Linked DNA regions of Cricetulus griseus. The protein of the gene in region 1 interacts with the protein of each later gene in a biochemical or structural test. Links are inferred from orthologs where the notes say so. Each region holds a gene or a part of one and is shown on either strand. Other genes may lie near its edges. The genes, in order: Cops7a and Cops4.

What was found.
Region 2: the proteins of Cops7a (region 1) and Cops4 form a complex in vitro, tested with the Homo sapiens proteins (2 studies listed by BioGRID). The link is inferred for Cricetulus griseus from reciprocal best matches to the Homo sapiens genes COPS7A and COPS4.

What each region holds. Positions count from the first base shown.
Region 1 is NC_048601.1:21,443,742-21,458,615, forward strand, and holds the start of Cops7a (COP9 signalosome complex subunit 7a), read left to right. Parts: upstream 1-8,188; 5' UTR 8,189-8,331; exon of another isoform or gene 8,332-8,355; intron 8,356-8,558; exon of another isoform or gene 8,559-8,850; 5' UTR 8,851-8,898; coding exon 8,899-9,060; intron 9,061-9,401; exon of another isoform or gene 9,402-9,502; intron 9,503-11,413; coding exon 11,414-11,489; intron 11,490-11,685; coding exon 11,686-11,774; intron 11,775-12,818; coding exon 12,819-13,021; intron 13,022-13,845; coding exon 13,846-13,951; intron 13,952-14,104; coding exon 14,105-14,256; intron 14,257-14,425; coding exon 14,426-14,465; 3' UTR 14,466-14,874.
Region 2 is NW_023276807.1:162,544,790-162,559,663, reverse strand, and holds the start of Cops4 (COP9 signalosome complex subunit 4), read right to left. Parts: upstream 8,689-14,874; 5' UTR 8,541-8,688; coding exon 8,467-8,540; intron 1-8,466. UniProt on the Homo sapiens protein: Component of the COP9 signalosome complex (CSN), a complex involved in various cellular and developmental processes.

The DNA.
Region 1 (14,874 bases):
ATGTTTTACCTGCATTTAAGCATACTACATCTATGCAGTATCCTCCAAGGCCAGAAGAGGTCATCAAATCCCCTGGAACTGTAGTTAACAGACCGTTGTGAGCTACATCACCTGGGTTCTGGGAATTGATCTCCATCCTCTGGAAGAGCAGCCAGTGGTCTTAACTGCTGAGCCATCTCTCCAGTCCTTATTGCTCCCCGCCCCTTTTTTCCTTTAGCCATGGGTTTTGAGATATTCCCATATTGATAAATAAAAATCACTGCTCACTTTACATACTCATAGAGTTCTGATGTGTGGATTCCCTCTCAATTTTTTGAATCCATTCTCAGGTGGGCTTCTGCCCTATCTCACCTCCTGAAATTTCTCTTGTGAAGACTGCCTATGACCTCCGTGTTCTCATACTCATACTTGCCAACTGGCAACCTTGCATATAGTTATCCTGGCCCCTACTAGAAAGACTTCCTTCTTTCAAGATTTTATTTATTATGAATACAGTGTTCTGAGTGCATGTATGCCTGCAGGCCAGAAGAGGGCACCAGATCTCATTATAGAAGGTTGTGAGCCACCATGTGGTTGCTGGGAATTGAACCCAGGTCCTCTGGAAGAGCAGTCAGTGCTCTTAACCTTTGAGCCATCTCTCTCTAGCCCCGCCCCCCCAGGACTTTCTTTTTGACACTCTACTATTCTGGTTGTTCCCACCTCTCCCTCCTAGTCTCATTGCTGGTTCCTCTCCCATCAATGGCTTGCTCTATCTTATGTCAACGGTCATTCCCCAGGAGATCATTTAGTTTCTAGGTTCGAAATATATTTGTTCCTGATAACTTTCCAATATTATTTCCATCTCTGTCGTTTGTCTTCATCTTGTCTTTCTGTGTAACTATCTACTTACCCCTTCTTAAACATTTCTTCTTTAAAAAAAAGATTTGAGCTGGGTGGTGATGGTGCATGCTTTTAATCCCAGCACTTGGGAGGCAGAGGTAGGTGGATCTTTATCTAGTCTACAGAGCAAGTTCTAGGACAGCCAGGGATATGGAGAGTTAACCTGTCTAAAAATAAACAAATAAATATAAATTAATTATAGGCATGCAATATCTGGATATGTACACCTGAGTTCAGGTACCCAGGGAGGCTGGAGGAGAGAGACTCCCCCAGACCTAGAATAACAGGGAGTTGTAAGCTGCCTGATATGGGTGCTGGGTCCACTGGAAGAGCAGTTTGTGCTCTTAACTGTTGAACCATCTCTCCAGCCTCAACATTTCATCTTTTAATAAATGGACTCTTAACCAGAGAGTGGTGGCACACATCTTTAATCCCAGCACTCAGGAGGCAGAGGCAGGCGGATCTCTGAGTCTGAGGCCAGCCTGGTCTACAGAGTGAGTTCCAGGACAGCTAGAGCTACACAGAGAAACCCTGTCTCGAAAAAAGCCAAATAAAAATAAAATAAAAGAGAGAGATTACTCGTTGCTCTTGCAAAGGACTCAAGTTCGATTCCCAGGATACACATGGCAGCTCACCATCATCTGTAACACCAGTCCCAGGCATCCCAATTCCGGCCTCCTTGGACACCAGGCACACATGTGGTATGCAGACAAAATACTCATACAGATAAAATAAATAAATATAAATAAAAATATCCCAAGGTGGTCTTGAACTTTTTAAAAAGATATATTTATTGTATTTTATGAGTTTTTCCTGAATGTATGTATAATCATCATGTGTGTGCCTACTCCCTGCAGAAGCTGGAAGAAGTCACCAGATTCCCTGGGATGGGGTTACAGAGAGTGGTGAGCCACTGTTTAGGTTGTGGGAACCAAACCTGCATCTGTCCTCTGCTAGATCAGCAAGTGCTCTTAACTGTTGAGCCAAGTCTCCAGCCCCAACCTTTCCTCCCTCCCTCCCTCCCTCCTCCCTCCCTCCTTCCCTCCCTCCCTCCCCCTTCCCTTCCTCTTCCTTTTTCCTTCCTTCCTTTTCCTTTCTTCTTTTTTTTTTCCAAGACAGGGTTTCTCTGTGTGGCTCTGCCTATCCTAAAACTCAATTTGTAGACCAGGCTGGCCTTGAACTCACAAAGATCTGCCTGCCTCTGCCTCCCGAGTGCCGGGATTAAAGGGGTACACTACCATGGCCCATAACCACTTCTTTTTGACATTGAAATTTCATGATATGGATTTAACCTACCTTTCTATTTATTTAGGCATTGTTTGTTTTATAATTTATTATATTTATATGTATGTATGTATATCCCCACATTTGTGGGTGCCTATAGAAACCCTGTCTGAAAAGACAAAAAAACAAATGAACAATGAATATGTTTATTACAAATTAAGGAAGGCTCTTCTACATTCCTAGAGTTTCTATCATGAAGGAGTGTTTACTCATTTTTTTCCAGTCTATCACTTCTTTTTTAAAAGGTTTATGTGTTTTATTATGTGCATATGTGTGTACCTGCATGACTTTGTGTGCCATGTGCATGCAGGGCGTGCAGAAGTCAAAAGAGGGCATCAGATCCCTTGGAACTGGCAGCTGTGAGCCAGCTGATGTAGGTGCCAGGAACCAAACCCTGATCCTCTACAAGAATGATACGTTTCTTAACTCTAGAGCTGTCTTTCCAGCCCTGAATGAAATGTTTCTGAAAGCCTTTCTTATTTTGAAATGTAATAGACAGAAATATAAAGGTAGCAAAACATAAAAAATAATGAGTACTTAGAGAGGGAATGGTTATAAACTGAGTAACAGCATTCACACTGTATAATCACCGTAATAAAAACAGCTTTGTATGTGGTTCAAAAGACAGTGTCCTGCCCAATTATGTTTTTCATGCCTCACTAGTGTGAGGTAGCATAATGATTTTTTATGAAAACTACTTCCTTGTTCTTTTCTCTCTCTCTCTTCTCTCCTCTCTCTCTCTCTCTCTCTCTCTCTCTCTCTCTCTCTCTCTCTTATTAGACAGGGTCTCTCACTATATAGCTCTGCTTGCCCTGAAACTTGATCTGTAGACCAGGCTAGCCTCAAACTCACAGATATCCACCTGCCAAGTGCTGGGATTAAAGGTGATACTACTAGCAGCTTCCTTTTCTTTTCTTTTTTCTTTTTTTTTTTTTAGACAGCGTCTCACGTAGCCCAAACTGCCTATGTAGCTCAGAAGCAGCCTGAATGCCTGTATCTTTCTGCCTCCACCTCCTGAACACTGGGATGACAGACACAGGCTACATGCTCAGTTTATGCCATGCTGTGTCTCAACCCTAGGGAAGAGTGCAAGATAGGGAAGTACTCCACTGAGCTCTATCCACAGTCCCCTTGTTTTTCTTTGTAGTTTCTATGAATGGGTATGTATTCCTTAACAATATAATTTGTTTCATTTTGGAGATAATGTATGTAGTAATGTCATATGTCTTTTCTATATATGTGGGTGTTAAATTATCACTTTACTAGATAATGCTAAACTTTTTCCAGAGTGATTTAAGTACCCAGGCATGGTACTGCAGTCCTGTATTCCAACACTGAGTCAGGAAACAGATAAATTTGAGGGCAATCTGGGACGGTTATGTTTAAAAACAAAATGTTTAACCACTAGTATTCTCATTATCTGTGTAGGGGTGTTTCTTTGTTCTGAATCCCAGGCAACATTTTGTATTTTCAGGCTTTAATTTTAGCAGCTCTAGTGTGGACAATGCTACTAATTGTGGCTGTAATTTGCATTACAAATGAAATTGAGGAAGTTTTCTTCTGTTTGTTTCTTGAATATTTCTTTTGTTTAGTGTTGGTTCAAACCTCTAGTTCACATTTATAACTTATTGTTAAGGCTTTCGGCTTTGTTTTTCTTTTTCCTGTGTGGTTCTTTCTGCATCCTGGGTGCATCTTTTAAATAAGGATAAGTATATTGAAGCATTATCTTTTCTTTCTGTTTGTGAAGTACCGGAATTTGGACCTGGGGCCTCACCATGACCACGTCTTTTTTGTTGTCCTCGCTCTCGCTCTCTCTCGTGTGTGTGTGTGTGTGTGTGTGTGTGTGTGCTTGTGTGGCTGCCAGAAAATAACCTTGGGTGTCATTCCTCAGGAGCTATCCACCTTGTTTGAGAAGGGGTCTCCCATTGGCCTGAGGCTTGCCAGTTCTGCTAATCTTAACTTGCCAGTGAACTGCAGGGATCCCGTCTCCCTATCTCCAGAACTGGGATTACAAGTGTATGCTGCTGTGCCCAGCGTGGTTCACATGGGTACCAGGAACTGTACCTGTACCACGTCTGTACATGCTTGTGTGGGAAAGCACCTTACTCAGTGGGCTGTCTCCCCAGCCCAATTCGTATTCACTTTGGTGGTCTTTCTTAGACAGGGTCTCGCATAGCCCAGCTGGCCTCAATCACTAGTTAACCAAGATGACTGTCCCACCCCAGTCTCCTGAGCACTGGGATTACAGGCTTGTACCACCAAACGGTGGATGTGCTACCAGGGATTAATCCCAGTGTAAATATCAGGTAAGCACTCTACTAACTGACCCATATCTCCATCTGGTGGCTTGTGTTTTGATGAACAGATGCTGCCAAATGCACCGGTCTTTTCACCTTATGGTTAGAACGAGCATTTAGCAGTCCTCACCTATCTTCCATCCCAGGCTATGATCCAAAAGCAGAGGAAAACTAGAGAATTCCAGGCCAGGCAGGACTGCAGATAGAGACAAGCTCTCTCAAGAAGCAAAAATAAGTACTTCTCTGTCTTGAATTTGTGGGTATATTCTTCTGAATTATCTCCTAAAGCCCTTTATATTTACTCTGTAGTGTGCTGGGAATAGATTTTTGTGTATGATTTGAGGTAAGGATTCAATTTTATCTATCTTCATATATACCCAGATCTCAGAATCAGTGAGATGTTCATTATTTCCTGCTCGAAAGTGCAGTCACACATCAAGTTGTCTGTATGTGTGAATCTGATCAGGGCTACTATGATCCGGTGGTCCATCTGTCTCTATGTATATCAATGGTATGTTTTCGTTGTTGTTGTCTTTTCCTGACAGCGTTTCTCTATGTAGCCCTGGTTATTCTCGAACTCAGAGACCCACCTGCCTCTGCCTCTAGGGTTGAGATTAATGGTGTGCATCACCACCAGCCATTATGCTTTCTTTATGTACTGGAGATTGAACCAGGGCTTCACATATGTTAAGCATATAGCCTACCACAGAACTACACCTATGGTCTTGTACATGTCTTGGTGTCTAATAAAGCTCGTGTTTCTGTCTGCGTCCTTTTTGAGAATATCTTCTTGAGAATCAGTGAGATGGCTCAGGGGTAAAGACACTGGCTGCCAAGCCTGATGACCTGAGTCTAATCCCCAGGACCATGGTGGAACGTGGAAGGAAAGAACCTCTACACAGTCATTTTGGTACATGTGCACACACACATACAGATAAATAAATAATAAATTTATATATATATATATGTATACATTCATATATACATACATACATACTTATATTTCCATGTACCTTCTGACTGAGGGGTTTAAGACTTCATCTCACACTGTGTAGGTTGGCCTTGAACTCAGAACAATCCTCCTACCTTGGCATCTTAAATGTTGGTTATGATAGGCACAAGCCATCATATCTGGCTTCAAGATGTCCTGATACCCTCCATTTTTGAAATTTCGGGATTCATATTTTACTGACAATTTTGGTATTGGGTGAGAGATGCTGACTTTGTTTCAATCTAGTTTTGCCTCTGTCTGATTTTATCAAAATAGTTCTGGTCTCATAGAATAAGCATTCTAAGTTTTCCTGTTTTCTGGAAAATGTTTTATAAAATTTAAATGATCTACACTCTTCTTAGTTATCACCCTAGCTTTTAACAGCTGAGCCACCTCTGTAGCCCATGATGTACAATTTAAAAGTTTTGTACAACTTGCCTTTAGATTATTAGTTTTTTTTTTCTGAGAAATGATCATTTTATGTAGCCCAGGCTTTGAACTTGTGATACTATTTCAGCCTCCCAACTCTTGGAATTATAGGTGTGTGCTATCATTGCTGGCTATAAAGTCATTTTCTTTTTAAGATTTTAGGCACATGCTTTTAATCCCAGCGCTTGGAGGCAGAGACAAGCTAATCTATGATATTTAGGCCAGCCTAGTCTACCAAGTGAGCTGTTACACAGAGAAACCCTGTCTGGAAAACAAAAAAAGGATTTTTAAAAAATCTTATGCCAGGCGTTGGTGGCACACGCCTTTAATCCCAGCACTCGGGAGGCAGAGGCAGGCAGATCTCTGTGAGTTCAAGACCAGCCTGGTCTACAATAGCTAGTTCCAGGATAGGCTCCAAAGCTACAGAGAAACCCTGTCTCGAAAAAACCAAAAAAAAAAAAAAAAAAAAAAAAAAAAAAAAAAGCAAGCAAACTAGGACAGGCTGTTGACGGTGAATCAAGACTAAATCTCAGAGAATTTCTCCTTTCTCTGTCTTCTGTCTTTGTTGCCTTCTTTTCTAAGCCTCTTCTCCCCCTCTCCCCAACACTCTCACACAAGTATGTAACTCACACTGGCCTGGAACTCACTACTCACTACACAGCCTGGACTACCTTTGAACCTAAGATCCTCCTGTCTCAGCCTCCCAAGTGCTAGACGGCAAGCATGTACCACTGCGTCTACCTTTGAGAAGTGATGGAACCAAATAAGCGAACACTCGGATCCCGTGCTCCTTTGTCTCACAGGTTACTTAGGAAGCTCACACTTCTAGGCCTCTGTTTCTCTCTCTCTCTCTCTCTCTCTCAAGATATGAGGTCATTCTATGCGAACTTTCTATTCGTATGCCTCAGCCTCCGGAGTGATGGCATTACAGATATGCACCAGTACATCTGGCTTTACCTTACATTGAAAGTTTTCTGTAAGGATTTTTGGGTTTTGTTGTGTTTTTTGAGACTTGCTCTCACTATGTAGTAGTTCTGGGTACCCTGGAATTCCCTATGCAGATGATGCTGGCCTGCAACTGAGGAGTCCACCTGCCTTGCCTCCCGGGTGGTGGGATTAAAGGTGTGCACCACCACCCCAAGATTTTAAAGTTTTTTTAAAGCAGGGTCTCTCACACTGTAGCTCAGGCTAGCCTCGAATTCAAAGCAATCCCCCTGCTTCCGTCTCCTGAATGCTGGGATTACAAGTGCCCATCTAAACCCTTTTTTGTTTGGTTGTTTTTTGAGACAGGGTTTCTCTGTGTAGCTTTGGAGCCTATCCTGGCACTCTCGATCTTGTAGACCAGGCTGGCCTCGAACTCACAGAGATCCGCCTGCCTCTGCCTCCCGAGTGCTGGCGTTAAAGGCGTGCGCCACCAACGCCCAGCTCCCATCTAAACCCTTTTAATTTTTAAATTTCCTCACCTGCCTCCGTTCCACTAACACTTTCCTCCTGTCAACTGAGATTCCAGTCGTCAAAACATAAGGACTACTGGGTGGTAACCAAGGCCACACAAGTGTGGTCACCAAGTAAAGCTCTGAAAACTTCACGGAAGAAAACGGTAAAAGTCCGACCAATCCATTTCCCCCGCTTTACCATTTGCTTCCTTTTGAGACAGGTTCTCAAATAGCCCAGACTGGCCTGGAAGGTGCTATATGGCTGAGGCTGATTTTGAACTCCTGATTGGATACCCCCCCCACACCCCGCCTCTACCTCGCAAAAGCAAGCATGAGCCACCACTCGGGGCCCCTTTGCCTTTTAAAACTCCTCTTCTTAGCCGGGCGTGGCCTTTAATCCCAGCACTCTGGAGGCAGAGGCAGGAGGATCTCTGAGTTCGAGGCCAGCCTGGTCTCCAGAGCGAGTGTCAGGACAGGCTCCAAAGCTACACAGAGAAACCCTGTCTCGAAAAACCAAAAAACCAAAAAACCAAACTCCTCTTCTTAAAAACACGCGTGGCTCAACTACCCGAGCCGCGTCTACCACTAACTCGGGCACGCGTCCCTGCGACGCTAAGTCGCCCAGAAACTCCGCGCTGCCCTGGGCTCCGCCCTGCAGCTCCCGGGGGGTGGGGTGGGGAGTGGGGGGCGTCCCGGCGGCCCCGGCGTCTCCCCGCGCTCGCAGCACCGCGCACCCACCGCTCTTCCCCCGAGAACCCTCTCTCCGCAGAGCGGAAGCCCGCTCGTCCCGAGCCGCCGTCGGAAAGCGGAAGCGGGCCCCAGCCGCCCGGAAGCCGCCTCCCGAGAGCGGAAGGACGGCCGGAAGCTGCCCATAGAAGCGCGCGGCTAGAGCGGCCCTGCGGGAGGTGGCAGGAAAGGCTGGGAGCAGCCGCCGGAGGTGACGGAGCGGCCGCTCGCCCGCCCGCCCGCTCGCCCGCCCCGCCCCGCCCCGTGCGCTGGAGGACGAGGCTTCCAGGTAGCGGCCGCGGCCGGTTCCAGGGTACGAGCCCGGCCCCTCCGGTGCGGAGCCGCCGGTCCTGGGCGGCCTCTTTAAGGGAGGGGTGGAGCCGCGAGCGCGGGGGGTGAGGTCACGTGGCCGCGGGCACGTGCAGCACACGCGTCCCGAGCCGGGCGGGGGTGCGTCGTCGTTAGGGTGGCACCATGTGCCACCGCGTCCCTCACCGCCGCCGCCGCCGCCTCTGCCGCCTCTGCCGCCTCTGCCTGCGGGCCCAGCGGGGTGCACGCGGGGCGGCTTGCCTTTAGGCCCCGGACCCCCGCGCAGGGTGGGCGTGGCAGCCGGGCCGCGGCCCACTCCAAGGAAGCTAGAGCTGGATTTTTTTTTTTTTTTTTTAAGACCTCTTGACCCGATTTCTCACTGCAGAGGTGGCTGGCTTACTGATTGCCTCTGGAGTGCGGTTCCCTGCCCTCGAGCTGACCCGTCCCCGCCAGTGCCCCGGGCCCCTGAGCTTCACGATCGATCCTCTCTTCCTTGCAGCTCCAGACAACTTGAGACCAGAGCGAGCCCCCGCACCTCAGTGCAGCCATGAGCGCCGAGGTGAAGGTGACAGGGCAGAACCAGGAGCAGTTTCTGCTCCTTGCCAAGTCGGCCAAGGGGGCAGCGCTGGCCACACTCATCCATCAGGTGCTGGAGGCCCCTGGTGTCTACGTGTTTGGGGAACTGCTGGATATGCCCAATGTTAGAGAGGTGGGTTGCTTGCCCGGGTAGTCCAACCGAGAACCTTGGGGCCCAAGTTTCTTCCAAGAATGCCTGGGCTCGTTTTGTAACCAGTAAGCCACTCAGGTCAACAGGGTGTTGGTAACTAACCACCAGTTAAATAAAGGTCTTTCATTTCTCTTTGGAGATCAAGGGGGTCTGTAAATCTAACGTCCCCTCCCTCTACACACATCTTTTTGAGACAGGGTTTCTCTGTGAAGACCCGGCTGCCCTAGACTAGTAGTAGTAGTCATCGTCTGGCTTGGCCTTGCACTTGTGGCAATCCTCCTGCCTATTAGGCCTTCTGCCGGATTTTAATTTTTTTCTTATTTAAAAATGTGGAACGATTCACGAATTTACGTGTCATTTTTTGCTCAGGGGCCATGCTGATCTCTGTATCGTTCCATTTTTTGTGTATGTGCTGCCAAAGCAAGCAAGGATTTTGTTGTTTTTCCAGACAAGGTTTTTCTCTGTAACAACTGTAGCTGTCCTGGAACTTGCTTTGTAGACCAGGCTGGCCTTGAACTCACAGAGATTCAAGTGCCTCTGCCTCCTGAGTGCCGAAACCAAAGGCATGTACCACCACCCAGCTGGATTTTTTAATTTATAAGCAAAAGTACATGCCATTCAGAATACTGCTTGTAAGTTCAGCCTGTCCACCAGTGTGATACCTCTTAATAATCATGTCACCAGCTCAGTAGTGGAGGGGTATCTTTAATCTCAGCACTCAAGAGTCAGAGGGAGGTGGAGTTCTGAGTTAGAGGCCAGCCTGGTCTACAGAATGAGTTTCAGGCCCGCCAATGCTGTTACATAGAGAAGCCCTGTCTCAAAAAAAAAAAAAAACAAAAACAACAACAACAACAAAAAAAAACCAAGGCCTGGCAGTGGTGGCACACACTTGCAGAGGCAGGCGGACCTCTGTGATTTCCAGGTCAGCCTGGTCTACAGAGCAAGTTCCAGGACAGGTTCCAAAGCTACAGAGAAACCCTGTCTCAAAACAAAACAAAAAGAAAAAAAAAATGTCACCTTGATCAGAGAAACCTTATTAAAAGGCTCACTTTTCTCCTAAAAATGGTGATGAGAAACTGGAACATGACTCAGTTGATAAGAGTGCTTGCCTAGCATTCGTGGGGCCTCGGGGTCCTTTTCAGAACTTGGGATGCTAAGGCGGGGGATCACAAATATTGGGCCAGCCTATGCAACTTAGAGTCCATCTCAAAAAGGAGTAGGGATGTAGCTCAGTGAAAGAGCCCTTGTCTATAGCATGCAAGGCTCTCTATAGCTTGATTCTCAGAACTGCAAAAAGGAAAAAAGTACTGCCTCTCAACAATTACAGAAGTAAAATTATGGGAAAGTCTAAAGCCTCCTAAAAATGTAAAGATGAGCATATTATCATGCTATGTTACCTCCCCAAGTGTCGAATATACAAATTCGTTTATGGTAGATAATGAAGACAATGTCTTCTTCCCAAAGACAATGGTAAACTGCTATGAACACAGCAAAGAGCATCAATAACAAATGGCCAGTCAAGAGCTTGAAGTATAGAGCAAATGGATGGCCAACACTGTGTCACTGGCCTCTGTCCTGAGAGGCTAACAGTAGTGTGGCTAAACTGAGCCGAGTTTTAAGAGGCCTCTGGTTGAATTAGAGGATATAATGTGTTTTGGGTTGCCGTTTATAGAAAACTGGCGCTATCTTTTGTTCCTGATTTTATCTACAGTGAACTAAAGTATAGTTTTAAGATAAGTAGAAGAAACATTTTCTAATTGCCTTACAGTGTTTAGTATTCTGCAAAATATAAGGCTACAGGTTTGCCCTTCAAGCTTGTATTCAGTTAAAGAGATCAGATAAATGGATGAAACTGTGGAAGACAGTTATTTAGCAAGAGTTTAGTTTGAGGGCTGCAATTCTGCTGCATCCTTGTAGGCTAATGGATGCTGGGTCTCTGGCCTTATTAAAAACTATTGTTAGTTAGGTGAGATGCTGCATGTCTGATATGCCAGGATGAGTGAGCGGTGATTCGAGATACTGGTGGATGATGTAAGACCACCTCACTGAGGACAGTCAGAAGCAGAGGCCACAAATTCTGTGCCCTCTGAGAGCCAAACTAACTTACAATATCTGATGTGTGTGTATGATACACCAAACACCCCTGATTTAGAGTAGGAATTTGATGCATAGCATAACAAAAGAGCTCGAGGTAGGAGTGAGCCCTCAGCAACAGTGTATGCTCGGAAATGTATAGAAGGCCTTTTGGTGAACCAGGATAGGTACTCTTGGGAGGATGGGTCAGAAAGTTGAGTTCAAATAGCTCCTTCTTGTCACTTCCCTGATGTTCTTGCAGTTGGCAGAAAGCGACTTTGCCTCCACCTTCCGGCTGCTCACAGTGTTTGCCTATGGGACCTATGCTGACTACTTAGGTAAATGGGGGCTGGAGCTGTGGAGCTATGGAGACAGGGGAAGGGTGGTTTCTGGAGAGACTTGGAAGAAATTTCTGGGGTGCCCCACTTAGATGGCGTAAGTGAACCTCTGGGCAATCTAAGACCGTAATTGGTGCAGAAAACTTGTAAGAAACTGCTAAAAATAAGATGCCTGGGCTTCTGTCCCCTTCCCTAGCTGAAGCCAGGAATCTTCCCCCACTTACCGAGGCTCAGAAGAATAAGCTTCGGCATCTCTCAGTTGTCACTCTGGCTGCCAAAGTCAAGGTAAGTGACAGTCCTGCCGCCTACCAGTCCAAAGCCAGAGACTGCCTATTGTTTGTCACTGGGAGTCTCCACCAGGACAGCTGTTGACCTCACTCTGTCTAGGTCTGAACTGAAACTCCATTACTGCAGTCATGGAGGCTGTAGTTTCTCAGTTTGAACCTAAGTTCTAAGTTACCATCTTTTGTGTTTGGTGTCAAAATAGATACTGGGATCCTGATAATCCTCGTTCATTCACCATACAGAGTCCCAGGACAACAAAGCCTCAGAGCTAGAAATGGGGTTCTTCCCCTGGAACTGCCAGGCTTGTGTGCTACAATAAGACATAATGTGTACCTCAGAAGTGTCTGTGTCCCTGTGGGCCCAGCTTTTTGTTACACTACACCACGTGTTCCTAGTCTTCACTCTCCCAGGCATTAGCTAGAATTGAGTCCTGGTGACTTTTGTTGGGATCAGACTCACAATTGAGGAGGCCTCAAAGGTGAGGCCAGTTTGTAACTTGGCTAAGTCCAAGTGTTAAACAGAGTAACTCCAGACCCCTCCTATGTATAGTCCTCTGATGTCAAGCTGATGTAATACAATATCCTTAGCTACTGCCAAAGAAATGGCCCAGGAAGATGTCGCACTCTTTCACTGTGCTGGGGCAAGTGGGGCATAGTAGGGTAGCATCTCTGTGTGTTAAGAGTGTCTTTTTGAGTCTGGGGTCATGTCTTATGTAATCCAACACTTGGGAGGCTGAGACAGAAGGATTAGTGTAAGATCAAGTCTAGCCTGGACTACATAGTGAGGTTCAAGCCAGCCTGGGCTATAGAATAAGAGCCTGGGTCAGAGTACATTAAAGAAAAGGAAAAAGAAGGAAGGATTGTCCTTTTCTGATGATGTTTTGAGGTGGTGATACGTTTGCTTTAGAACTAACATTTCCTGGGAAATGGTTTAGAGATAGGAATGGAGGACCTGTGGGACTCAGCAGTGGGGAAAAGAGGGAGGAGGATATGGAAAGTCCTCTGCTTTTGAGCCCCACAAACCCTGGTCTGACCCTGGACCCAGTGTATCCCATATGCAGTGTTGCTGGAGGCCCTTGCCCTTCGTAACGTGCGCCAGCTGGAAGACCTTGTGATCGAGGCCGTGTATGCAGATATCCTGCGGGGCTCCCTGGACCAGCGCAATCAGCGGCTGGAGGTTGACTACAGCATCGGGAGAGACATCCAGCGCCAGGACCTCAGTGCCATTGCCCGAACCCTGCAGGAGTGGTGAGAACTTGTCAGGCCTTAACCATCCCCTTATGTGAGCAGGAGAGAGCAGGGATTGGGCTGCAGAGGGTTAGTCCAATTGGAGAGAAAGAAACCAGTACTTTGCTCTGGAAGCTTCTGAGGGAACAAGCTTGAAGGAGATGCTGGGTGCTAAGAGGCAGGATTGTTGGAGCAGTAATTGGGGTTCTTGGGGGTTCTTCATGGGAGGTTTGTCACTGTCATAGGCACATAACACATGGGCCATGGGTCTCTCTTCCAATTTCTTCTTTGTATCCCTATAACTTCATTGTGACCTCACTTTGTATCCCAGGCTGGCTTTGAACTCAAAATCCTTCTGCCTCTGCCTCCCAGTATTGAGATTACAGGCATGCACAGTTACACACCACCGTGCCTGGCACTCGTGTTTGTGTGTGTGGTAGAGGGGTGCAGGTGAAGGCAGGTACTCACAGAGGCTAGAGGCGTCAGATCCCACTGGAGCTGGTGGTTGTGAGCTGCCTGGTGTGGGTGCTGGGAACCAAACTCAGGCTCTCTGGAAGAGCAATGCATCTTCTTTACCACTGAGCCATTTCCCCAACAGCGCCCAGCCCCACCCACGCTGTGTGTGTCACTCAGCTACTCCCTTATCCCTTCCTTCTCCTACTCCAGGGGGTTTGCTGATGAAAATACTGTTGTAGCTGGTTCCCGGGTGCCTGGTGAGGGCTCCCAGCCTTGGCAGGGGTTTCGAGTCCAGCTTGGAGGCTTGCTTTTGAGGTTTTGTTTTGTTTTTAGGAGTTTATGATCACAGGCCTCTTCTGCTAACACTTCATCTGCTCTGATTCCCACAGGTGTGTAGGCTGTGAGGTCGTGCTGTCCGGCATCGAGGAGCAAGTCAGCCGTGCCAACCAGCACAAGGAGCAACAGCTGGGCCTGAAGCAACAGATCGAGAGTGAGGTAAGCAGGTAGGGAACAGGTCAGCTACAGCTACTGCCCTGGGCTCCTGGCCTGTGCACGTGCTGGATGTGGCTGAGGCAAACTGATAAGATAATCAGGATCTGTCAGGTTCTGGACCTACTTTGCTATCTGCCATTCCTTTCATCCTGATAGGTTGCCAACCTTAAAAAAACCATTAAAGTTACAACAGCGGCAGCTGCTGCAGCCACTTCTCAGGATCCAGAACAACACCTGACCGAGCTGAGAGAACCAGCTCCTGGCACCAACCAGCGCCAGCCCAGCAAGAAAGCCTCAAAGGGCAAGGGGTGAGCCCGTGCGGGGAGCCGCTTGCTTCTGGGTACCCCACATTTACCTCAGGGGCCTCAGCCTGGCTGCTCCACTTGCTTTAGTCATGTGCATGGGGTCGGGAATGGGGGTGTCCTCCAGGAATTAGGGGACCCCTTGCATCCCCTCTCTCTCTCTTCCCCTTGCCAGACTCCGAGGGAGCGCCAAGATTTGGTCCAAGTCGAACTGAAAGGACTTGTTTCTTCCCTGGGAATGTGGGGTCCCAGCTGCCTACCTGCCTACCCCTTAGGAGTCCTCAGAGCCTTCTGTGCCCCTGGCCAGCTGATAATCCTAGCTCATGACTTTTCATCTCCTCCACCCCCAAGCATAAGCCACATCCCCTATAGGGAGAAGGCCAGTCCAGGTCACGTCTTGTTGGTACTTGTTATGTGTTCCATTGCCTCTCTTCCCTGACACGCTTGCTCTCATCTTCACTCGGCACTGTGTCTGCCCATTACCCACGTCATCAACCAGGTTGGCAGTCCTATGGAGGGTGCTTTCTCTTCGCCACCCACAGGTGTTCTCTACCACGCCCACCCCTGCATGCCTAACCTGCAGTTCCTCCTTCCCTGTGCCTATTGGGCTGCACCTGAAAAGCT
Region 2 (14,874 bases), on another chromosome or scaffold:
GATAATATTTCCTAGACAAAACCAATACTCAAGACTGAGTGTCTCAGCACATACAAAACAAACTCCACCAAGCCAAAAGCACCAACAGAATGCTCTTTATGCTGTCAGATGTCTGCATTCAGATCTAGCAACATACCACTTACTATCCATCACCACATGAGGTTCAAATCCACACTAGAGCAAGAGTGAGAGAAATGCTAATAGTACACAGTGACAATTAACAGGCAACGGTAAGTTCCTTCCTAAAGCACAAGTTCCAAGAGGACAGGGAGCTTCCTTCATTCACTGAAATATATAATGTCTTGAAGGGTAAGGCACAAAACATTTTACCTCTTAAACTGAGTCAGTATAAAATTATCATGTGTCTTTCTATTGATTCTTAAATTTTTTCAAATTTATGTATCTGTTGGTGAGAGCATCTGTCACATGAATCTGGTACCCACGGAGGTCAGGAAAGGACATCAGATCCCTGGAGCTGGAGTTATAAGTGGCTGTAAGCCATGCACAGTAGGTGCTGGGATATCCACCCCAGTTCTCCAGAGGAGTAAGTGACCAGCACTCTAACCACTAACTCATCTCTGCAGCCCTCTCTTTTGTCTTTTTCAAAACACTTACTGCCAGGCTGTGGTGGGCAATACCTTTAATCCCAGCACTTGGGAGGCAGAGGCAGGTGAGTTCAAGGCCAGTCTGGTCTCCAAAGTTCCAGAGCAGCCAGGGCTACACAGAGAAACCCTGTCTCAGAAACAAAAATACCAAACCATTTATTATTGGGCCCAGAGAGATGGCTCAGCAGTTAAGAACATTGGCTACTCTTCCAGAGGACCAAAGTTCAATTCCCAAAACCCACAGGGTGGCTCACAACCATCTGTAACTTTAGTCCCAGGGATATGACACCCTTTTCTGGCTTCTGTGGACACTAGGCGCATGCATAATGCAGACATGTACACAAGCAAAACACCCCTACACATAAAATAACAGTGTACATGTAGAAATCAGAGGACCACTTTGTTGAGCTGGTTTTCTCCTTCACCTTCATGAGGGCTCTGGAGATCAAACCCAGGTCTTCAGGTTTTCCTAGCCATGCATCTTTACCCACAATCCAGCTTCCCTACACCACTTACGCTTTTTCTTTCTTTTTTTTTTTTTTTTTTTTTTTTTGATACAGGGTTTCTCTGTATAGCTTTTGGAGCCTGTCCTACAACTCACTCTGTAACCAGGCTGGTCTGGAACTCACAGAGATCCACCTGCCCCTGCCTCCTGAGTGCTGGGGATAAAAGTGTGCACCACCACTGTCCAGCACCTTATTTTTAAAAAGCATTAGTTAAAGACATTTTATTTATTTTTGTTTTCTGAGCTAGAATCTCCCTTTGTAGTCCAAGCTGGCCAGGAACTCAGCATCATTCTGACTAACCTCAGATTAATCCTCCTGTCTCAGTTTCTCCCCAGTGTTTAAACTATAGGCATGAGCCATCATACCCAGCTAGTTAAATTTGATTGCAAACCTAACAACGTTTCAGTTATTCAGAAAGTGGTTCAGAATGAAGCCTGGAAGAAAAACTTGCACAAATAAAACCCCAACTCATTCAGACTGGCGACATATTTTGTAGGGCCCACTTATCCCACTCCTGGTTATGGAATGTAGCAAAATCACAATGGAAGCAGGTGTGCTGGCAGATGTGAGAAGGAAAGGAAACAGTAAACCTTTAGAGACAAGAGTGTTACTTTACATATTACTAGGTCTGACTCCTTAAGGGACAGGACTGTGTTAGAAAACTACTTCCTACAAAGTATCTCATTCTAGCCTTCTCACTCTTACAGTGTGCACACACACACACATTCATGTACATATCTCACTTACAGTATGCACACACACACACATTCATGTACATATCTCATAGTATGCACACATACATTCATGTATATACCTCACTTATAGTAACCACACACACAGTCAGGTGGTAGTGGCACACACCTTTAATCCCAATAATCAGGGAGGTAGAGGCAGGCAGATCTCTGTGAGTTCGAGGCCAGCCTAGTCTACAGAGTGAGTTCCAGGACAGCCAGGGCTAGCTACATAGATCCCTGTCTTGAAAAAACAAAATTAAAAAAAAACAAGTATGCACACACACACACACACACACACACACATACACACACATTCATGTACATACCTTACTTATAGTATTCCCCACACACACACACACACAAATTCATGTATATACCTCACTTATAGTATGCACACACACACACAAATTCATATACATACAAATTAAAATTGGTCTTAAACCTATATTTACATATTTACTGATCTGGACACATTTTCAGATAGGTTATGCTTTATTTTTGACTGATTTATTTTCAAATTCGATTATATTTTATTAAATCAGGGTTATAGCTAAGTCTTATATTTATATACTTCTAGAGAGTATTTTATATAACTAATATTTAAAGGTAAGTACTTAGGCAAATTTGATGCCTAACCTAAAGTTAAAAGTTTTTTGATGCCATGTGTGATGGCCTACACCTTTAGTCCCAGCACTTGGGAGGCAAAGCCAGGTGGATCTACATGACTTTGAGGCCAGCTTGGTCTACAGAGTTAGTTCCAGGACAGCCAGGGCTACACAGTGAAACCCTGTTTCAAAAATCCAACCAACCAACCACAACAAAAAAGGAGATTTATTTACTTTTACTTTGTGTGTAGATGTTTTGCCTATACAGATGTCTGTGAACAATGAGTATGCAGTACCCACGGAAGCCACAAGAGATCATCTGATTTGGAACTGGAATTTCAGATGGTTGTTAGCCACCACGTAGACAGGTACTGGGAAATGAACTTGGGCCTCCGAGGGCACAAGTCATGCATACATGTACACACAGATGTAAACCAACACTAATACACATAAAATAAAAATAAGAAACCTTTTTAAATACATAAAAACACAACCAGAAAGGCTCCTAACCCCCCTGTGGTGGTTTGAAAGGAAATGGCCCCCAAAGGGAGTGGCACTCTTAGGAGGTGTGGCCTCATGTGCACCTGCACACATGCACGCACACAGTATAAATAAGTAAATGAAAAAGACATGGGAAAGCCAGGCGGTGGTGGCGCACGCCTTTAATCCCAGCACTCGGGAGGCAGAGGCAGGAGGATCTCTGTGAGTTAGAGACCAGTCTGGTCTACAAGAGCTAGTTCCAGAACAGCCTCCAAAGCCACAGGGAAACCCTGTCTGGGGGGGGGGGGAGAAAGACATGGGAAGCAGGGAAAAGAACAAGAAGTATTTTCTAGTCCTGAAGGCAGTGGAGGGAGAAGTGAGGTGGTGAAGACACTTCTACAGAGAAAAGGGAGGGCTCTACTTTGGAGCTCTCTGTAAATCTGCTGGAAAGAATGAGAAGCCAGTTGCTGTTTCTGGGAGACTAACAGAGCTAGAAGGATGTGATTCAAGTTCTTTGCCTGACAAACCAGGAAATAAACACAAGCAACTTGAAATAAGGTTACAAATTCAATACCAAGGATTATCTAGGAAAAAAAATCTGAAGTCTTTTCGTCTTAGATTGTTAGCAGGTGCTGACAGAAGGAAATGAACATTCTCTGACACACAGGAGCCTGGCTCCAAATTGTTTCTAAAAACATCTCTGAAAATTATTTACCAAAAAACAAAGATTAGTAAGGCACATGATAGTATTAGCTAGCATCAATAAAAACAACAATCAATTGCAACAACTAGGAATTATTCTGAAGTGAGAAAAACTGTAATATAATTACACCCAGGGAGGTAAGGCAAGCTTTGAAGTTCAACAAGAAAGTAGGAACTGGTGTCATGTCATTGGAAAACAAACCATCAGAAATTACAGAACTGAAAAAGATTATAACCAGCTTAAATACTCAACACTAGAAGAGGCAACCCAAGAACTGCTAAAACAGAAAGCAGATTAAAAAAAACCTATCTAGAATGAAGCATAGAAATGAAAAAATACACGAGAGAAGATATAGAAGTCCCAGTATGTTGTTCTGAACAGAGGTTTCACTAGAGTCTAGAGGAGAAATAAGACAGAAAAGAGGTAATGAAGAGGTTTAACTTGGACCAGAGATGGTTGTTCATGCCTATAATCACAATACTTGGAAGGCTGAGGCAGGAAGATCAGTAAGTACAAAGCCAGTCTGAGCTACAGAGTGAGATGCCATTAAAAAAGAGAGAGAGGCAAACAGGTAAATAGATTTTCCAATAAACACTTCCAGAACTGTTTAAACCATCTAACCCATTGGGCTTCCCAGTGAAGCTCAGCCGATTAACTTTGACTATCTTCAAAAAGTGGTCACAATTCTTTCACTCCCTGTATCTACACTCTTTTTCAATTTGACTTTGTAGCTCTTCACATCAAAAACAAAAGGTTTATTTCCCTATCCCATTCTAAACTTTTTGACCAATAGAATGTAGCAGAAATGAAATGCCAGTTCTGAGCCTGGACCTTAAGAGGCTTTGAATGTGTTATTAACTTTGGAACCCTGTTGTCACGTATTAGCCATGCAACTCGAAAAAGCAAAGCAGTGCACCTGGCCTGCATCTCAGTGTAGATAGATGGGGTATACCTGGCCTGCAGCTCAGAATATGCAAATGTCTACTAAGTGACTAGGTGACTATATTTTAGAGTGAGGAGTTCATAAACATGGACTATAAACTGGCTTGACTACTAGGTGCCTTCAAAGTTTCTTTTTGTGTGTGTAAGTATTCCTCCCCTTGCAGTCCCTCCCATTCTCAGAAGTTCTTTCTCACTTTTCCTAAATAAAGCTGTTTACTTTGAAAAAATAAAAAGTATACTTTCTGGTCAGGGAAGTGGACAAATGAACAATCAATCTAATCTATCCAAATAAAAGTAAGCTATAGCTGGTCACAGGCAGACCAATTAACTAGGCCTAACGTGGGGATAGGTGTGAGAATGTGAGCAAGCTTCCGGGAAGCCACTTAATCAAATGTTGAGGACCAAGTAGGTTAGCCAATTGTGTTAAGACAGGCTATCACAACAATTACCTTCACATGTTCCCTCTCCAGTCCCTCTTTCTCTTCTTTATATAGCCCTGACCTGGAACTCACAGAGATCAGCCTGCTCCAACCCCCAAGAGCTGGAATCCAAGGCCCCAGCTTCTAAGCTTTTCTTGAAAAGAGATTAATTTACTTTTATGTGTGTGTGTGTGGCCTGCATGTATGTCTGTGCACCACATGTGTATCTGGTGCCCTTAGAAGTCAGAAAAGTGTACCCTGGAACTGGAGTTATAAACAGTTGTGAGCCACCCTGTGAATGCTGGGAACTGAATTCAGGTCCTCTGCAAGAACAGTAAGTGTTCTTAACAGCTGAGCAATGCTCCAGTCTCCTCTCCAAAGCTTTGTAATAGGTAATAAATATATATGTTATATGAAAAGAAAAAGCAGCCAATGTATATAAAAACAAAAATGCTTTTTTATGTGGCCAATTTCTTATACCAAAATTTGATAACTGTTAATTCAATTATCAGAAAGCACTTCTAATTGAGTTTTTAGCAAGAAAAGCAATATAGTCTGGTTAGTTAAAAGTGAGCTTTTAAGACAAACATGGGTTCAAATAGAAGTTATGTTACGTCCCCTTCTAGCCATTTACTCATTAACCAACATTTCTTGAACAATACACTGTATGGGAACACAGAGGGCTTCAGTATTAGATATCTTTTGTTTCGCAGTTCCCAATATAAAAACCTTAAATAAACACATGGCATAGGTGCTTCATAAAGTTATGTGGCTGGCAGAACTGTTTTGTTACAGGGGTAAACATCCTAACATTCTTACCCAGATAGTACTGGGCAAACATCCAGAGACAAGGCCAGAAAGCAGCACTGAGGGAGGGCTGGAGAGATGGCTCAGTGGTCAAGGGTGCTGCTCTTCCAGGGACCTGAATCCAATTCCCAGCACCCAGGTCAGAGGGCTCCCGGTGACTCCCTCTTTTGGCACCCATGGGCACCTGCACACAGATGGTACTCACACTCACACATACATAAAAATTAAAAATAATCAACTAAATCCTAAGACAAGAAAGAAAGCAGGTGTTGGTGGTATACACCTCTAATCCCAGCACTCGAGAGGTAGAGGCAGGCAGATCTCTGTGAGTTCGAGGCCAGCCTGGTCTCCAGAACAAGTGCCAGGATAGGCTCCAAAGCTACATAGAGAAACTGTCTCGAAAAACCAAAAAAAAAAAAAAAAAGAAAAAGAAAGAAAAGAAAGTGATACTGAGGGAGGAGCTAGCTAGTACTACATGGGCTACCATTTATCAATCCAATCATTTCATTTGCTCTGAATAATAAACTCACATGGTAAACTGCCACAAGAATAGTTTCCAATGACTCCTTTGCAATATCACTTTGCTACTAAAAAGTTAGTGGTACATTCCATTTCCTTTCCCCCTGAATCACTTGCTTTCACCAGTATTACAGAGTCAATGGAAGACTTCTCAGGCTAGCCTTAAGCCTTTCAGCTTTCATTCTCACTCAGGTAGAACACTCTAATGGAGAAGCCCAGAAGAAAGCCAAAGCTACACTATGAAACTAGAATAAAAGACCCAGCCAACAGCCAGATACTGACATGAGCCCAGCCCTAACTGAACTGCTAGCCAAATTAATCTGTTTAATTGAACCAGGCAAGACCAGGAAGACAGCCCAGGTGACACAAAGAATCCTGGGGAGAAAAGTATGCTTACACCACTAAACTGTACGTTTATTAAGCAGCAACAGACAAAGAAACAACCCACTGGAGACATACTACTGCTCATCTCCAATTCAAAGCTAAAGAAGTTAAGGAGTAAGCCAAAGTTCCAGAATGCTTCCCAGTTCAAAGAGCTACAGCTTATCTGACAACTAATGGCCTTACATTTTCTGAAATACATAAGCTAGTTTTACTTTCATCCAAACCAATAAAAAGTATTAATACATGCAAAAAAGACTAAACAATGAAGACATAGTCAACTACTTCCAAATCCTGGAATAAGTCAGTATATATTTACCGACTGCTTAATAGTAACAATTCTATGGCGTTTTCTATATACCAGGGACAGAACTCAGATATTTAGTGTGATAAGTACACAGACACACACTCATCTTGAAATCAGGTAAGACTAAGTCTCACAATCACACTACCACTTTTTTTTTAAGCAGAAAAAGGAAGCATAAAGTAGTTAAGGCTGGGGTATAACTAAATTTACCAGCAAAAAAGCAGCACAGCTGCCATACAACATCTACACAACATCAATGTGCAGGCTTGAGCAAGAGTGTTCAACAGTTAGATCAACGTGCTCTCAGCTGCCAGCATGTAAAATCAATTGGAGGCCTACTTTCAGCATAAAGAGCTAGGTGTGGGGGGTGCATGCCCTTAATCCCAGGAGTCCAGAGGCAGAGGCAGGCGGATCTCTTGAGTTTGAGGCCAGACTGGTCTACAGAGTGAGTTCCAGGAAAGCCAGTGCTACACAGGAAAACCTGTCTCGAAAAACAAAGACTTTCAGCAGAGAGCAAACCTATGAAATCTACAAAAAGAAAACGACTAAAACTGTTCAACAGGGGGAGCTGGAGAGATGGCTCAGTAGTTAAAGAGCACTGGCTGTTCATCCAGAGGACCTCGGTTCAATTCGCAGCTCACAACTGTCTGTAACTCCAGTTCCAGGGGATCTGATACCTTCATAAAATAATAATAAGAAAAAAATATATATATACATACATACATACATACATACATACATACATATATAACAAATTATGACTTGGAGTGGACCTAAGCATTCTAAGGTTTCTACAAAATTCCTAAACAGCCTATGGAAACATCAGTGTTCTAGAAATCCTAGATCGAGGACATTCTGCCTGTGTTCTTTTCTGCAGAGCTGGTGACAGAGACTGAGGGAGAGTATCCAGAACATAAGGACCTACACACGCTATTTAAACTTGAGAAGTTCTGGGCGACATGACAACGGCCATACTCCTCGGCCCCTGTCACCCTGGAAAGCCTTCTCTTAAAAAAAACAAACAAACAAACAAATAAAACTCTGCATCAAAGCCCAGACTATAAATTTATCTCCACCAAGGTGAGGGCGGTGGCGGCAGCAAACAGAAGTCAAACTCGGTATGTTGGGCTCTCCAGAGCCACTAACGAAGGCGGCCACCGCCGATGGAGCCGTCATCTTTCGTGCCACGCTTGCAGAAGCCAAAGGAACCCGTGGAGGACGTTACCAAGGACTTAAGACGCTGCAGTCAGCACGGGTCTCGGGGCGGTCTGGACCCCAGCACACGGTCCCTGACAGTCTTCTGCGGCTCCCAGCATTTACCGCCACAGCCTGAACCAGGCCCGCCCCCCTGAGCCCTCGGGCCTACCACCCCGGCCCCACACCCGAGAGCCCCCGGCACCTCTAGGAAGGTAAATTTGTGCCTCCCATCCCACCTCTGGACTCCTAGGAAATACTCACTTGCCCGCCAGATCTTTATGAGAGCCACTCAAATTCATGAGCTGGGCCAAATCCTGTCTCACGGCAGCCGCCATCTTTCTTCCAGCTCAGCCACGGCTGCGGGACCGCTCGCAGCCGAAAAGAAAACGAGTGTGGTCCTCCAGAGCGCAGGCAGAGGGAACCCGAGGTGCCATAGATCGCGTCTTTACGGGCTAGAGCGCCGAGTGTGGGAGCCGGAATTAGCCCCGCCCTCGGGGTTGAGCGACACCAAACTCCTCTCCTCCCGTTTGAGACCCGCCCAGGCCTCTCGAGAGACGCTGGCTCTCACGCTCCGAACTGAGATTGGCTTAAACCCTTGAAGGAGTGTACCTTGTGCAACCTCAGTAAGGGCCCGGCGCGTTAAAACTACAGCGTTTTCACTAAGTTCCGGGTCTGAGGGTCGTCGTTCTGCCCTTCTTTTTTAAGGCATCTCTAAATCACCTATGGTAAAGAATGAGCTGTCTATAGTTTTTATTTCCAATTCAAGATAGTCCAACATTGAAAACAAAGCAAAAACAAACAAACACACACACACACACACACACACACACACACAATTTAGCTAGGAGGGAATACACCACGGACAAGAAAATAATTCTCTCAGGATAAGGCACCACCATTTAGAGGTGCTGATGTCTGCGCTTCCCCACATGTGAGAAACTTAATTGCATACTTTATAATAATATCAGTGGACTGCTTTCAGCGCACCCCCCCCCCCGCAAAAAAAGGCTAGACTGCAATACCAACACTCCAAAGGTAGGAGGCAGGAGGATTCGAAGTTCAAGGCTATGTTCCTGAATTTAGCAAGTTGGTGGCCAGCTTGGACCATGAGAGAACCTATGAGAGACAAGAGTCTAGGAAATAGATTTAATGTACACACACATCCCTGTGGACTGACTATATATGTGTATTCCCTTTCTCTGTTACATCCTATATCTTTTAAAAGTATTCATCAGAACAATGTTATTTTTCAACTATTGTCCTGAAGTAACTATTAATGATACTGCCTTCACTTTACAAACCGTTATTTGAATGACAAGTTATATGGTCATCTTACTTTTAGATGAGATTACATTCATTATTTATGTATTATTTCAAAACTTTGCAAAATTACAATCAAATAGGTGCAAGACTTTGCATTCTCTTCTTTTCACAATAAATGACACATCTTGTTGTTCTATCTTTGGTGTTTTCACTTTTCGGACAATCCAGCAATGTAAGTCCAGTCCTTTGTTAGCATTATTCTTAAAGGTAATGATGGTACATTACATTTAGTCTTTATAGGATATATAAGTAGCTTTAAGAGAGTAACCAATGGTGCAATGAATAACCTTATATGTGCATGGTTTAAGATATATGCAAGTAAAATACACTCCCAAAAGTAAATCAAGGTACACACAATTTTTGCCAGATATTGCCAAATTGTACTTTACAGGAGAATTTTAGTATTTTCTTCCTTCCTTCCTTCCTTCCTTCTTTTCTCCCTTCCTTCCTTCCTCCCTTCCTTCCTTCTTTCCTTTATTTTTCTTTTGACATTTTTGAGACTGTTGGGAAAGATATTGGGGAGATGTTGGGCCACAGCCCCCACGGTGTCTCTGTGAGTTGCTTGCCAGTCAATAATCACAGGTGCATCCTGTTTTACAGTCCTGAATTACAATCCTGGCCGTACCCCACAGCATAAAAAACACAAGGTCCTACACCTGGGTTTTTTCCACCGTGCTGTAAGTGTACATAAGGCTGCTCTCTCCTTTCACTAAGACAGACACACATAGCACAAGTGGCCAGATGGCTCTGCTTTTAACGAAATCTCCAGGCTTTTGACTGATACTTGGACTTAGTCATGGAGCAGGCGCCACAAGTGGAGGTTCCATTTGACTTAGTAGTGGCATGGGAGCCACAGAGACAGGGTTTCTGTGTTCCCCTGGCTGTCCTGGAATTCCCTCTGTAGACCAGGGTGGCCTTGAACTCACTGAGACAGGATTGCAATTTCTTACGGACTTACTTACCTACAACAAATACCAAACTCAAAGCATTTTACCTTCTTGGTATTTTATAAATGGCATATTCTATCTATTGGTAAGTATATAGAACAAGGGAAACAAAATAGCAGGTATCCACACCAATTCAATCATGTTCTTTTGGCAAGAATATCTAGCATCACTGAGACTGGAAACTTGCTTTCCAATAAGGTTTGGGGGGCGCTTATGAATCCAAAGTGTGGGTCAGGTCTGTTGCCACAGGCCTCTTAAGGCCTGCCTGGAGAACTTTGGCGGGAACCTGTATGAAAATAGGAAGCTAAAAAGAAGGCTACACTTATACCTTATAGCTCAGTGGTAGAGCACTTGCCTACTATATATAAGGCCCTAGGTTAAATTCTCCGTCCAAGAGTGATGGAGAGAAAAAAATGAAGAAAGGAAGATGAGAGAGATGGACCCAGGGGATGAGAGATGGAGGGAATTGGAAGTCTCTTCTATAAACTGTCTATCTAAGTATCCTTTTGCAGTAGAATAACTTCCTTCCCTGAGGAAGAGAGTTCATCATCCCACTCAATGTTGCCAAAAAATAAATCTACAACAATTTAAAGATCTTCAGTTGGATATACTTTTTATTTTACAATCAGTCATTTTTTCAAAATAGAGTAAATGTTCCAAGTACGGGGACATAGATATATAAACTGAAAAAGGAAAGAAACAGAAAAGTGAGCCTGGCATAGTGGCTCATGCCTGTAAACCCAGCACTCAGACAGTTGAGACAAGGGGACTCGTGCAAGTTTAAGGCTATCCCAGACTAACATAGTGAATTCTATTTAAGTCTGTGCCACAGACTAAGATCCTGTCTCAAAAGTAAAAGGAAAAGTGGTTTGGCTCTTTCAAACTTAATTTCTTTGTAAGACAATATGAAAAATGTAACTTGAAAAGTTCCAAGTTACTTTAGGTTAATTTAATTTTTTGTTTGTTTTTGAGGTTTTGGGGTTTTTTGTTTTGTTTTGTTTGTGAAAGTATAAAACATTGAAGGAGCTTCATCAATGTGCTAATTGAAAAACTTTGTTTGAAAAATCTCTTTAATCTTGATATCTCTAAGGTGGAATAAATAGCTTGATGTTATATGTTACTGTGAGTCATTCCGTTTTTGAATTATAGTCTAATGTCTAGGGGCAGGAGTGGAAACTTGGTCCAAAGCAACGGCATTCTGTGATTTTATGTGACATGTTTACATCAGCTCAAAATCCAGGATGTTAAACAAAACAAAAAGCCTCTCGAGGGGCTGGAGAGATGGCTCAGTGGTTAACAGCACTTGCTTCTTTTGCAGAGAACCTGGGTTCAATTCCCAGCATTCATATGGTGACTCACAACTGCCTGTAACTCCAGTTCCAGGGGATCTAATACCATTTTCTGGCCTCCTGGAGCTCCCACACAGAAGTAGTACACATAAATTCGAACAAACAAACACACAAACACGAAATAAAAATAATAAATCTTTCAAAAGTAATTTTAAAAATACAGGTTGAAGAATTGGGCAGATGACTCAGTGTGTAAAGAGTTTAATGTACAAGGAGGTTTGGATTCCTAGCACCCATATAATAAAAGTTAGTCTGTGACAGATAGGTCCTGAGGGCTTGCTGGCTAGTCAGTCTAGCTGAAAGAGCAAGCTTCCAGTATTGTGAAAGTAAGATGGAGATGGATGTAGGAAGACTGCTGGCCTCCATGTGTGCATGCATGGATAAGTGCACGTTCACATGCTAATGTAATAGTCATAACAGTCTCACTTGCAAAGTTTCTAATTTCCTATGGAGCTTAGAAATTTCCACATGATTAATGTTTGTTCCTTACTGAGAACTCTCACCTTTTCACCTAACCAAGCCCTCTTTGGCATGTCAGATTTGCCAGTACCATTGCCCTTTGCACTCTGGGGGCATTATTAAGTAAAATAAAGATTACTTTCGTGCAGGGACAGCGATAAGAGCTGATAACCAGGACAGCTGATAACCAGGACAGCTACTAAGTGACTGGCAGAAGGGCAGCATACACATTGCTGATTCACTGAGCAAAGCAATGATTCATTTCCTAAGCAGCACTGAGAAGAATGTCTGGGGAATTTATCATAATACTCAAAACAGTGCTCAGTTTAAAACTTAGGGATTGTTTGTTTCTGGAATTTTCCATGTAACATTTTCAGACTGTAACTAACTACAGGTAATTGCAATCTCTGAAGGTAGAATCAGGAAGGCGTGGCACTAACCTTGACACTGTTGTACCTTAAACCTGCCTCCTTGGTCTTTGGGGGTCTAGTGTGTGTGGTGTAGTGGGTGTACATGGTGTTGGATGAAATTAAGAATTACTATAATTAAGTGGATGTTGAAGTTCACTGGGTCTTGAACAATTGAGGGTGGCAAACCTCAACATTACAACCCATAGATTTGGGAATCTCCAAAATCTGCTGGCTTCCAAGAGTTCTCTGGCTAACGATAGGTGTCACATCTGTTAAATAATGTTGACAATCTTAAATAATGTGACAGCCCCACCATGTTGAATGTTTTCTGTTTATTTCTATCCATTGGTTGTTCCTGGAGGAGTCTGATGAGGATGGCTGAAGCAGAAGGTATGACTTCAATCTGGGCCCGGTAGAATGGTCAGTCCCACTGTACTTTTCAGACCCATCCAGTCACTGTATGCCTTGGTGATGCTATCCCTAGGAATTTTTTGAAAGCAGATCCAGGGGTCGCACAACTGTCTGTAGCTCCAGTTTTGAGGGACCTGACATTTTCTTCTGGTCTCTGTGGGCACCAGGCAAGCATATGGTACACACAGACACATGCATACAAAACACTCATAATCATAAAATAAATCTAAAAAACAACAATGTAATAATTTGTTTCTTAGTTCAGACCTATTAACATCATCACATTAATAACATGCTCCCCACCCCGTAATTCCAGAGCAGTTAAAGTTGAGAAGCTGGATGACGTGTGAGCCCATGCCTTTACTACTGGCACTTGGGAAGCAGAAACAGACAGAGCTCTGTGAATACCAGGCCAGCCTGGTCTACATAGCAAATTCCAGGCCAGCCAGACCCTACAACACAGCGAGACAGCGAGACAGTGTTTCACAAAAAGAAAGTGGAGGGTGGAGAGAGAGATGGCTCAGTGGTGAAGAACACAGATGACCCTGGGTTCATTTCCAGGCACCTACATCAGGCAGCTGACATCTGCCTGAAACCACAGTTCTAGAGAAATGGATGCCCTCTTCTGGCCTCTGGGGGCACCACCACTGTCACACACACACAGTCACACATATGTACACATAATTAAAATTAAGTATTTTTTTTAAAAAAAAAGAGTTGAGAAGTTGAGAAGCATCCAGCATATCTTGACACCACTTGTATATGAATTCCAAAGTGCAGTTTCTCTGGCAGGAATCTACCATTTTGACAACTAGACAGGCTCTAGCCTCTCACTACTTCCCTACAGATATGCAAACGAGTCATCCTGGACTCCCCTTCGTGGTGTACCAGAACATGACTCTTGTTGTTTTTTTTTTGTTGTTGTTGTTGTTGTTTGTTTTTTCAAGACAGGGTTTCTCTGTGGCTTTTGGAGGCTGTTCTGGAACTAGCTGTTGTAGACCAGGCTGGTCTCGAACTCACAGAGATCCACCTGCCTCTGCCTCCCGAGTGCTGGGATTAAAGGTGTGTGCCACCAACGCCCAGCCAGAACATGACTCTTTATAGGAGAAAAGAATGTGTGTGTGTGTGTGTGTGTGTGTGTGTGTGTGTGTATTTGTGTGTGTGTGTGTGTGTATTTGTGTGTGTGTGTGTGTCTGTGTGTATTTGTGTGTGTGCTGTGTGTGTGTGTGCTGTGTGTGTGCTGTGTGTGTGTGTGTGTGTGTATTTGTGTGTGTGTGTGTGTGTGTGTGTGTGTGTGTGTGTGTATTTGTGTGTGTGCTGTGTGTGTGTGTGTGTGTGTGTGTATTTGTGTGTGTGCTGTGTGTGTGTGTGCTGTGTGTGTGTGGTGTTTGTGCTGCTGTGTGTGTATTTTTCTGTGTGTGTCCTGTTGTCTTTTGCACTATCCCTCTTGTTTGGGGTGGTGCTATGAGACCATTGGTTTTAGAATCATTGTGTGCTTTGTAATTAGACTCGATACAGTCGGTTCCCAAGAGGCTGCCTTTCCTTTAGGGGGATTATAACTGATACAACTGGAGTGCTAGGAATGCTCTTACTATTGTATCAGTATTTTGTCCTTTTCATAGGACAGAACTAGAAAATATGTATTTTAAAGGTGAAATAATGCATGAGTTCATACAGATACTCCCAATCATAAGCTTGTCTGGGCTACATATGTATCTTCTAATTTTCACACCCAGAGTCCCAGGTATCAAGCACATTAGGAAACCCAGA